Oryctolagus cuniculus: one gene and its partner. The protein of the gene in region 1 binds, or shares a complex with, the protein of each later gene. Links are inferred from orthologs where the notes say so. Each region holds a gene or a part of one and is shown in the gene's direction. Other genes may lie near its edges.

The links. The genes of interacting proteins can lie anywhere in the genome.
Region 2: GTF2E2 (region 1) and POLR2C share a complex: the UniProt entries of both Homo sapiens proteins name them as parts of the TBP-based Pol II pre-initiation complex. The link is inferred for Oryctolagus cuniculus from reciprocal best matches to the Homo sapiens genes GTF2E2 and POLR2C.

The regions. Positions count from the first base shown.
Region 1 is NC_091433.1:80,641,711-80,645,210, reverse strand, and holds part of GTF2E2 (transcription initiation factor IIE subunit beta), read left to right. Parts: intron 1-3,203; coding exon 3,204-3,311; intron 3,312-3,500. UniProt on the Homo sapiens protein: Recruits TFIIH to the initiation complex and stimulates the RNA polymerase II C-terminal domain kinase and DNA-dependent ATPase activities of TFIIH. Both TFIIH and TFIIE are required for promoter clearance by RNA polymerase.
Region 2 is NC_091449.1:41,014,813-41,018,891, forward strand, and holds the start of POLR2C (DNA-directed RNA polymerase II subunit RPB3), read left to right. Parts: upstream 1-1,279; 5' UTR 1,280-1,369; coding exon 1,370-1,455; intron 1,456-1,618; coding exon 1,619-1,668; intron 1,669-3,306; coding exon 3,307-3,375; intron 3,376-3,513; coding exon 3,514-3,566; intron 3,567-4,040; coding exon 4,041-4,079. UniProt on the Homo sapiens protein: Core component of RNA polymerase II (Pol II), a DNA-dependent RNA polymerase which synthesizes mRNA precursors and many functional non-coding RNAs using the four ribonucleoside triphosphates as substrates.

The DNA.
Region 1 (3,500 bases):
AGGGAGAGACAGAGATAGGTCTTCTAACTGCTGGTTCATTTCTCAAATGGCTGCAACCACTATCTCTGGACCGATCCAAGGCCGTGAGATTCTTCTAGGTCTCCCACCTGGGTGCAGGAGCTCAAGCACTTGGGCCATCTTCCACTGCAGCAGAGAACTGGGTCGGAGGAGGGGCAGCCGGGACATGAACGGGTGGCCATATGTGATATCTGCTCCGCAGACAGAGGCTCAGCTTGCTAGCCACAGCGCCAGCCCTTCCCTCTTTTTTTTTTTTTTTAAAACGATTTATGTAGTTGAAAGGTTGAGCAGCAGAGGCTGGGTGGGGTGGATGGTGGGGAGAGATCTTTCATCCATTGGTTCATTCCTGAAATGTCTTCTGTGGCCAGGCTGAAGCCAGGAGGCAGGAATTCCATCCTGGTATCCCAGATGGGTAGCAGGGACCCAAGCACTTGGGCCATTTTCCACTGCCTTCCCAGACATTATTAGCAGGGAGCTAAACTAAAAGTAGAGTGGCTGGTACTCAAATCAGCAATCCAGAATGGGGTGCTTATATCATATGTGGTGTACGCCCAGTTTGGTATTTCTTGCTATATTGGTATAGTAACATGACTTGGGAAATTATAGTTCTTTATTATTAACCATAGTAAAATTGCTTATCAGTCTAGATTTGGAATCCTCTTCCATCACAAATATCATCTTAAAAAAAATCACATCGGTTGGTCAGACATGTTTGTGAAACAAGTACTAGGGATAGAGGTATCTGGCACAGTGGTTAAGACGCTGCTTGGGACATCCATGTTAGAATGCCTGGGTTTGAGTCCCAACTCTGCTGTCTATTCCAGCTTCCTGCTAATGCATACCTTGGAAGGCAGCAGGTAAGGGGAATAACAACTGAGAAAGTTAAGAAAAAAAAAAAAAAAGAAAACCTCACAGTGAAGGTTACTTTTTTTTTTTTTTTTTTACTACATGATCTGTGCTTTGCCGCATTTACAACAGAAGAGCAGCAGATAGCAGTTGAATCATGGTGTGTGAACATTACTTGAATCAGTGAAATTTCCGTCAGATTTCCTATTTATGCCTGTAGAGCTTGATTGCTCCCCTAAGTTAACTGACACTGTAAGGGGAAGTTGGGGGATATAATTTGGAAGGGAATTGCTGACATTCTCGTTCCCCTGTGTTCCCATTTGTGAGGTGTATGGTTTACCAGTTATAAAAGCTCTCCTCCATTTTGCAGAAAAAAAGAGGTGATCTTAGCAGCATGAACATAGTCCTACTTGTGTGCTGCTACTGCTTGCTGCTAATAGACTTCTAATGAAACTGCTAGCATGAACTCAGTAATGACCTGTTAACCATAAGCATTAGTACTTTGTGAAGTTAAAACATTTATTTCTTAATATCTTGATTTTTTTTTTTTGTAACTTTAGGGTTTTGTGGAATGCTGGTTGAGAAGCCCTATTACAAGCCATTATGCTCGCAGGCACCGCTGCTCACTAGGCTAATCCTCCACCTTGTGGCGCCGGCACACCGGGTTCTAGTCCCGGTTGGGGCGCCGGATTCTGTCCTGGTTGCCCCTCTTCCAGACCAGCTCTCTGCTGTGGCCAGGGAGTGCAGTGGAGGATGGCCCAAGTCCTTGTGCCCTGCACCCCATGGGAGACCAGGATACGCACCTGGCTCCTGCCATCGGATCAGTGCGGTGCGCCGGCTGCAGCATGCCAGCCGCACGGCTATTGGAGGGTGAACCAATGGAAAAAGGAAGACCTTTCTCTCTCTCTCTCTCTCTCTCACTGTCCACTCTGCCTGTCAAAAAATAAAGAAAAAAAAAAAAAAGGCAAGCCATTATGAAAACGTATGCTACGGCCAGTGAAGTAGCAATGCTTTTTTTTTTTTTTAAATTGGCGCCGTGGCGTAGTGGGTAAAGCCGCCACCTGCCGTGCCGGCATGGTTCAAGACCCGGCTGCTCCACTTCTGATCTTGCTCTCTGCTATGGCCTGGGAAAGCAGTAGAAGATGGCCCAGGTCCTTGGGCCTCTGCACCGGTGTGGGAAACCTGGAGGAAGTTCCTGGCTTTGGATTGGCACAGCTCTGGCCATTGCAACCAATTGTGGAGTGAACCAGTGGATGCAAGACCACTCTCTGTCTCTCCTTCTCTGTGTAACTCTGCCTTTCAAATAAATACATAAATCTTTTTAAAAAAAATTAGCACATAGAGAACATAGCATTAAACATCTGAACAGTAGCATGTAGGATGCAGTTTACTTAGTGAATTGTCTGTTAATGGCCACTAGGGTTATTTCTAATATACATATATATTTAAAGATTTATTTATTTATTTGAAAGTCAGGGTTAAACACAGAAGGAGAGGCAGAGTGAGAGAAAGGTATTCCATCCACTGGTTCACTCCCCAATTGGCCGCAATGGCCGGAGCTTCCTCCGGGTCTCCCATGTGAGTGCAGGGGCTCAAGGACTTGGGCCACCTTCTACTGCTATCCCAGTCCATAGCAGAGAGCCGGATTGGAAGTGGAGCAGACAGGTTTCAAACCCGTGCCCATGTGGGATGCCGGCACTGCAGGTGGTGGCTTAACCCACTACACCACAGCGCTGGCCCCTCTAGTATTTTTCTTGTACAAACAATATTGCAATGACTTTTAATCACTTTTTTTGTGCTGTGCTGGCATGTTTATAGGGTAAATTCCTAGAAATAAGATTGCTATGTCAAAGGATTTAGTTAATTCACACTGCCAAACTGCTCTCTAGGGTTGTACCAGTTTATACTGTTATCAGTAGTCTTTGAGAAAGGCATTTTCCTCTAGCTTCACTAATAAAATTGGCAGACATTTGGAATTGTTCAGCTCGAATAAGTGAGAAATATCTTGGCAAAAATTGAGTGTCTTTTCATATGTTTAAGATCGTTTGTATTTCTTTTTCTGTCATCTGAGGATTCGTCTCTTTGGGTATTTCCTTGTTAGGTGTTTGGAGCTCTTAAATATTAAGATTAGCTCTTTGTGATGTGAGTTGCAAATGCTTTTTTCTTGTTATATGATTTTTTTATTCTATCTGATTTCATCATCAGTGCTTTTAATTAGTATAATTTTACTGCCTCAAATAATACATGTTCTATATTCCTGAAAGGATTTATTTATGGGTAGCTTTGATTTAGTGTATCTAGCATTTTAAAACACTGACAATGATTTCTTCCCTCAATAGACACGACATCAGCGAGGAGACACACATCCTCTAACTTTAGAAGAAATTTTGGATGAAACCCAGCATTTAGATATTGGACTCAAGCAGAAACAGTGGTTAATGACTGAGGTAAGAAAAGGCTTAAAATATAATAAAAATAATTGGTTAATAACCAGGAGATATTTTCTTTATAATTTTTTTAAATAATATTGAAATCTGTGCTTTTTTTTTTTTTTTTTAAGTTTTATTTATTTAAAAGGCGGAGTTAGGGAGAGACAGATTTTCCATCTGTTGGTTCACTCCTCTGATGGCCGCAAT
Region 2 (4,079 bases), on another chromosome or scaffold:
CTGCTAAGGCTGAGTCAAGGCTGGTATCCACCGGATGGTGGCAGCTCACTGCCAGCACGCTGCAGGCATCCTGAGATGTTCCCGGGGACCCCTCAGAGAGCTGCCTCCCCAGAGACAGGTGCCTGCTGGACACTGAGAGGCGTGGCCCAGGCCTGGTGTCGCATCACTCCAGCACGCACTGCGGGATTGTTAGTGTATTCAGAACCTGTAAAAATTATAATAAATGTTTGAGGCTGCTTCCTTTTATGTAGTTTGTTTCCATATAGACTGTGATAGATGTCCCCAGCGGGAGTTCTGGCCCTGGCTCTGCCTAATACATGCTGGGGGGTTGGACAACTCTGCCTCTGAACCAGGTCTTCCCATCAGTAAAATGGGGGCAGTGGGGCCTTCCCCAGACACCTTGCTCCCTTGGCCCCTCTTGTCTGTCACCATTTTAGTGATAGGTTCGTCAGTGTCAGTAATCTCAGCCTGTGCACCACCTGGGCTCCCTTGCACATCTGCTTTGCTCTGGCCCACGTCTGCCAAATACTGATAGAGGAGTCAGAAGTGGACGCATTTCAGATCCCTGTGGGCCTTCCCCGGGCCCCGCGCCTCTCTGGTTACTCCCTGATACCTGTGAGGCTCCTGCAGCAGCTACCCACGTTTCATCGCATTCATCACATCCATGTTACACTCAGGAGATGACCGTAATTCTTAACCTACTGAGATGACAGGCAGGCAAGAACCGCCTCCTGCCCTTCCTGTGTCTCAGGAAGAGGTGCGCCTGCTGCTAAGGTGAACCCCTTCCTGGGTACTCTACTGCAGCCACATTCCATTTTAGGGTCTCTAGAGCCTTTTACGGAAGTGTCCACAAGTGCGCGACCCGGACTTGAGGGTGGAAGGGAAGGACATACACCATCATTGAGAGATGCTTTGCTGAAAGTTGCCACGCATTGTTTCCCATGGGTGTTCAAATTCACATCATCCTCAAAGGCCTCATGGTATGCCTATATGTATCTATTTAACCAGGTCTCTATGCATAGACCAGTCTTGTTTACCTTTTGCTATTACAGTACTGTCTTGAATGTCCCTGTAGCTTTGTTTACAACTGCAAACATCTTGGCAGAATGAATTTTTAGACGTATTATTGTTGATTCAAGGGCATATGCAGGTCTTGCCAAGTTACCTTGCAAGTTGGGTGAGACTGGTGGTGGGGTGGGGAGTAGAAAATGCGGGCCATGGTGCAGCCGCAGCCTCCCAGCGGCAGGGGGCGCTGCTCGCGCGTCTCGGCGGAAGCTGCGGGGGCCGCGCTGTCCGGCTTCCGGTGACAGAGCCGCGCAGGCGCGACGGGGGCGACGCGAGGGGCCGGCTAGGAGGCCTCAGGGGCGCGATGCCGTACGCTAATCAGCCCACGGTGCGCATCACCGAGCTCACTGACGAGAACGTCAAGTTCATCATCGAGAATACGGACCTGGCGTAAGGCTGCTGAGGGGAGAGGCTGGCGGCCCTGCCGAGCCGGCCCGAAGGGTGGGGGTGCCCTCCCACGGCGGCCACCGTGCCAGGGCTTTAGCTTTGGGAGCCCGGGGCCGGCCTGTCGGGGCTGCGGCGCCCTCACGCCTCTCGCTTTCTCGTCCTTCAGGGTGGCCAATTCTATCCGGAGGGTCTTCATCGCGGAGGTGCCTATAATAGGTAAGCGAGCCCCGCCGCACCCTACCGGGACCACTGGTTCCCCGGCTTCCCAAGGCCCCACGCACCTGTGCCGCCTCCAGGCCTGGCTTGGGGGTGGAGGTGCCGAGGCTGGGTCGCACCCGGTGCCTCTGGCCCGGCTGCCCCGTTGGCCACTTCGGCCCCCCTGCCGTGTGCCTCGCGGAGCAGCACGGGTTCGGCAGGGGCTGCCCTGGGCTCCGATGCGGTTTCCACGCGCGCGCTCGGTGGAACTTAGGCAAGTCGTGACCCTTCTGTGTGCTGCTGGTTCTCATCGGAGACATTGGACGCTGGTGTTACTCACCAGGCCGACGGCGGGGACCAGTGAGTGAGCGATTCTGATGGATGTGCACGGGGCTCGAGGACCTCGCAGCAGCGGCCCGCAGGGGTGGGAGGGCCTCTGGCCTCTGTGCCCCAGTGTTTTCTGCGTTGACTGTGCTTGTGTAAAATACCAGGGGTGTTTTGTGTCAGCTCAGTGAGTTTGCGTTTGGCAAAAGAGATGTTGTGGCTGCTGCATCAAGTGTTCAGACTCTGAAGGAAGCGGCACACACCAGCTGCTTGCTAAAGCCGCCGCCTCCGCCCCCCGTCGCCTCAGCCCCGCTGGGCCTCGGTGGGCCCCGCTTTTCACATTCTCAGCTCTGCAAATGCGCACCCATGCTGGGCAAACAAAGGCAGCTCAGACCCGGCCTCAAGGAATTCTCCAAGCCTGCGGTGGGGATGAGACACAAATCCGACACTGAGCAAAGCATGACCGCTGTGCTAAGGGGAGTCAGAGCTGGCCTTGTCCGAGCGGGGTTCAGAGGCCGGGGGTGCTCACGGCTCAGTCTGAAGCGCAGGCGGGACTCGGGTTTTAGGCTCGGGGGATTTGGAGCTGCACGAGGAAGGAAAGTGCGGGCCAGGAAGCAGCCGGGGTCCGGGGGTACGTGAAGAGGCAGAGGGGCCTGGGTTGGGGCCTGAGACGACTGGTCCCCTTCTGACCTCTGCTCCCAGCGGCCATGCCCCCCCTGGCAGCTGGGCAGCAGCCCTGTTTGATTTCGGCGTTTGTATGAATGAGTGAGTAAAGTGGGGTTGAAGTCACGTGGGTGTGAGACAGTCCTCACCGTGCTGCCAGCTCGTTGCTGGCAAGGACCGGTTTCTCTGTAAGCTGCCTGGTTCCTGACAGGACGCAGTAACCTGTGTCGGCTGAGTGATGAGGAAATGCTCGTTGGGTGGGCCAGCGTTACATCCTAAGACGCGGTTCCTGCTGTCGGCCTGTTCGTTGTTCGTGAGTTTCCCTCATCGCAGTGGCTGAATCGTTTGTGTTCCTGGCTGTTTGGCACTGGCACAGGTGGCAGATACATTGGCTTCTCACAGAAATCGGCAGCAGGTGTGCCTGCTGCGGTGAGGCGCTCTGAGCCGGCGTTCCCGTGTGGTCCAGGAAGCCCCTGCCTGAACTCCCCCCCGGGCGGGCAGGGGCCGCGGTGCCTGCGTGGTGCCTGAGCCCTGCCCGGTGCTGCTGCAGTCAGTCCCCGGCCGCCCGGCCTGGCCCGGCCCGGGCATTCCTGAATCTTGGCACTCACTGCCCTGAGCTTTGGGGAATTTGGTTGCTGAATGAAGTCTCACCTCCGCCCCTTCTCGTTTTAGCCATTGACTGGGTTCAGATCGATGCCAACTCCTCCGTCCTGCATGACGAGTTCATCGCGCACCGGCTCGGTGAGTGCTGCTCTGGGGGAGGTGAAGGGACGGTGCGGCCGATGCCGCAGGAGGCCTCCCCACCGCGGGGCGCCTGTGGGCTCTCGTTTTGGGCATGGCTGTCTGGCTGCCTTGAAAGCGCGGGTCTGTGTCTTACAGGCTTGATTCCTCTCACGAGCGACGACATCGTGGACAAGTTGCAGAACTCCCGGGTATGCTGCGAGAGTGGCTGTGTGTGGCTCGGGTAGGGGCTTAAGGGCCCACAGGACTTGTCCTTGGCATCTGGCTGCCAGCATGGACTGCGCCGTGGTTGTAGGGAGACGGCGGAGATGTTGTCCAGAGCCCGAGGCAGGTGTCTTTGGGCTTGGTGCTGATGAGGATCCCATTGGTTATGTCCGTCTGGAAGTCTCAGGAGCCAGTCCCACAGAGGGGCAGCCACCAGGGGGCCTGCCTGTGCAGCACAGGGGCTGTTGCTTCCACAGCACCACCACCACCCCTGCCCCGGGGTCGGGGGGCAGAGGCACAGAGGTTGGTGTAGGTGCGGGCAAGGAGCAGAGGGGCTGGGCGCTGTCTCACAAGAGCAGCACCCCCTGCACGCAGGCAGCGGCTCAGGGAGCGGGCCGAGCAGGCAGCTGTGGGGCTTCCCGGCTCTCCGTGGGCTCCTTCCAGCTTCCCTCTCCGCTCAGGACTGCACCTGTGAGGAGTTCTGCCCCGAGTGCTCGGTG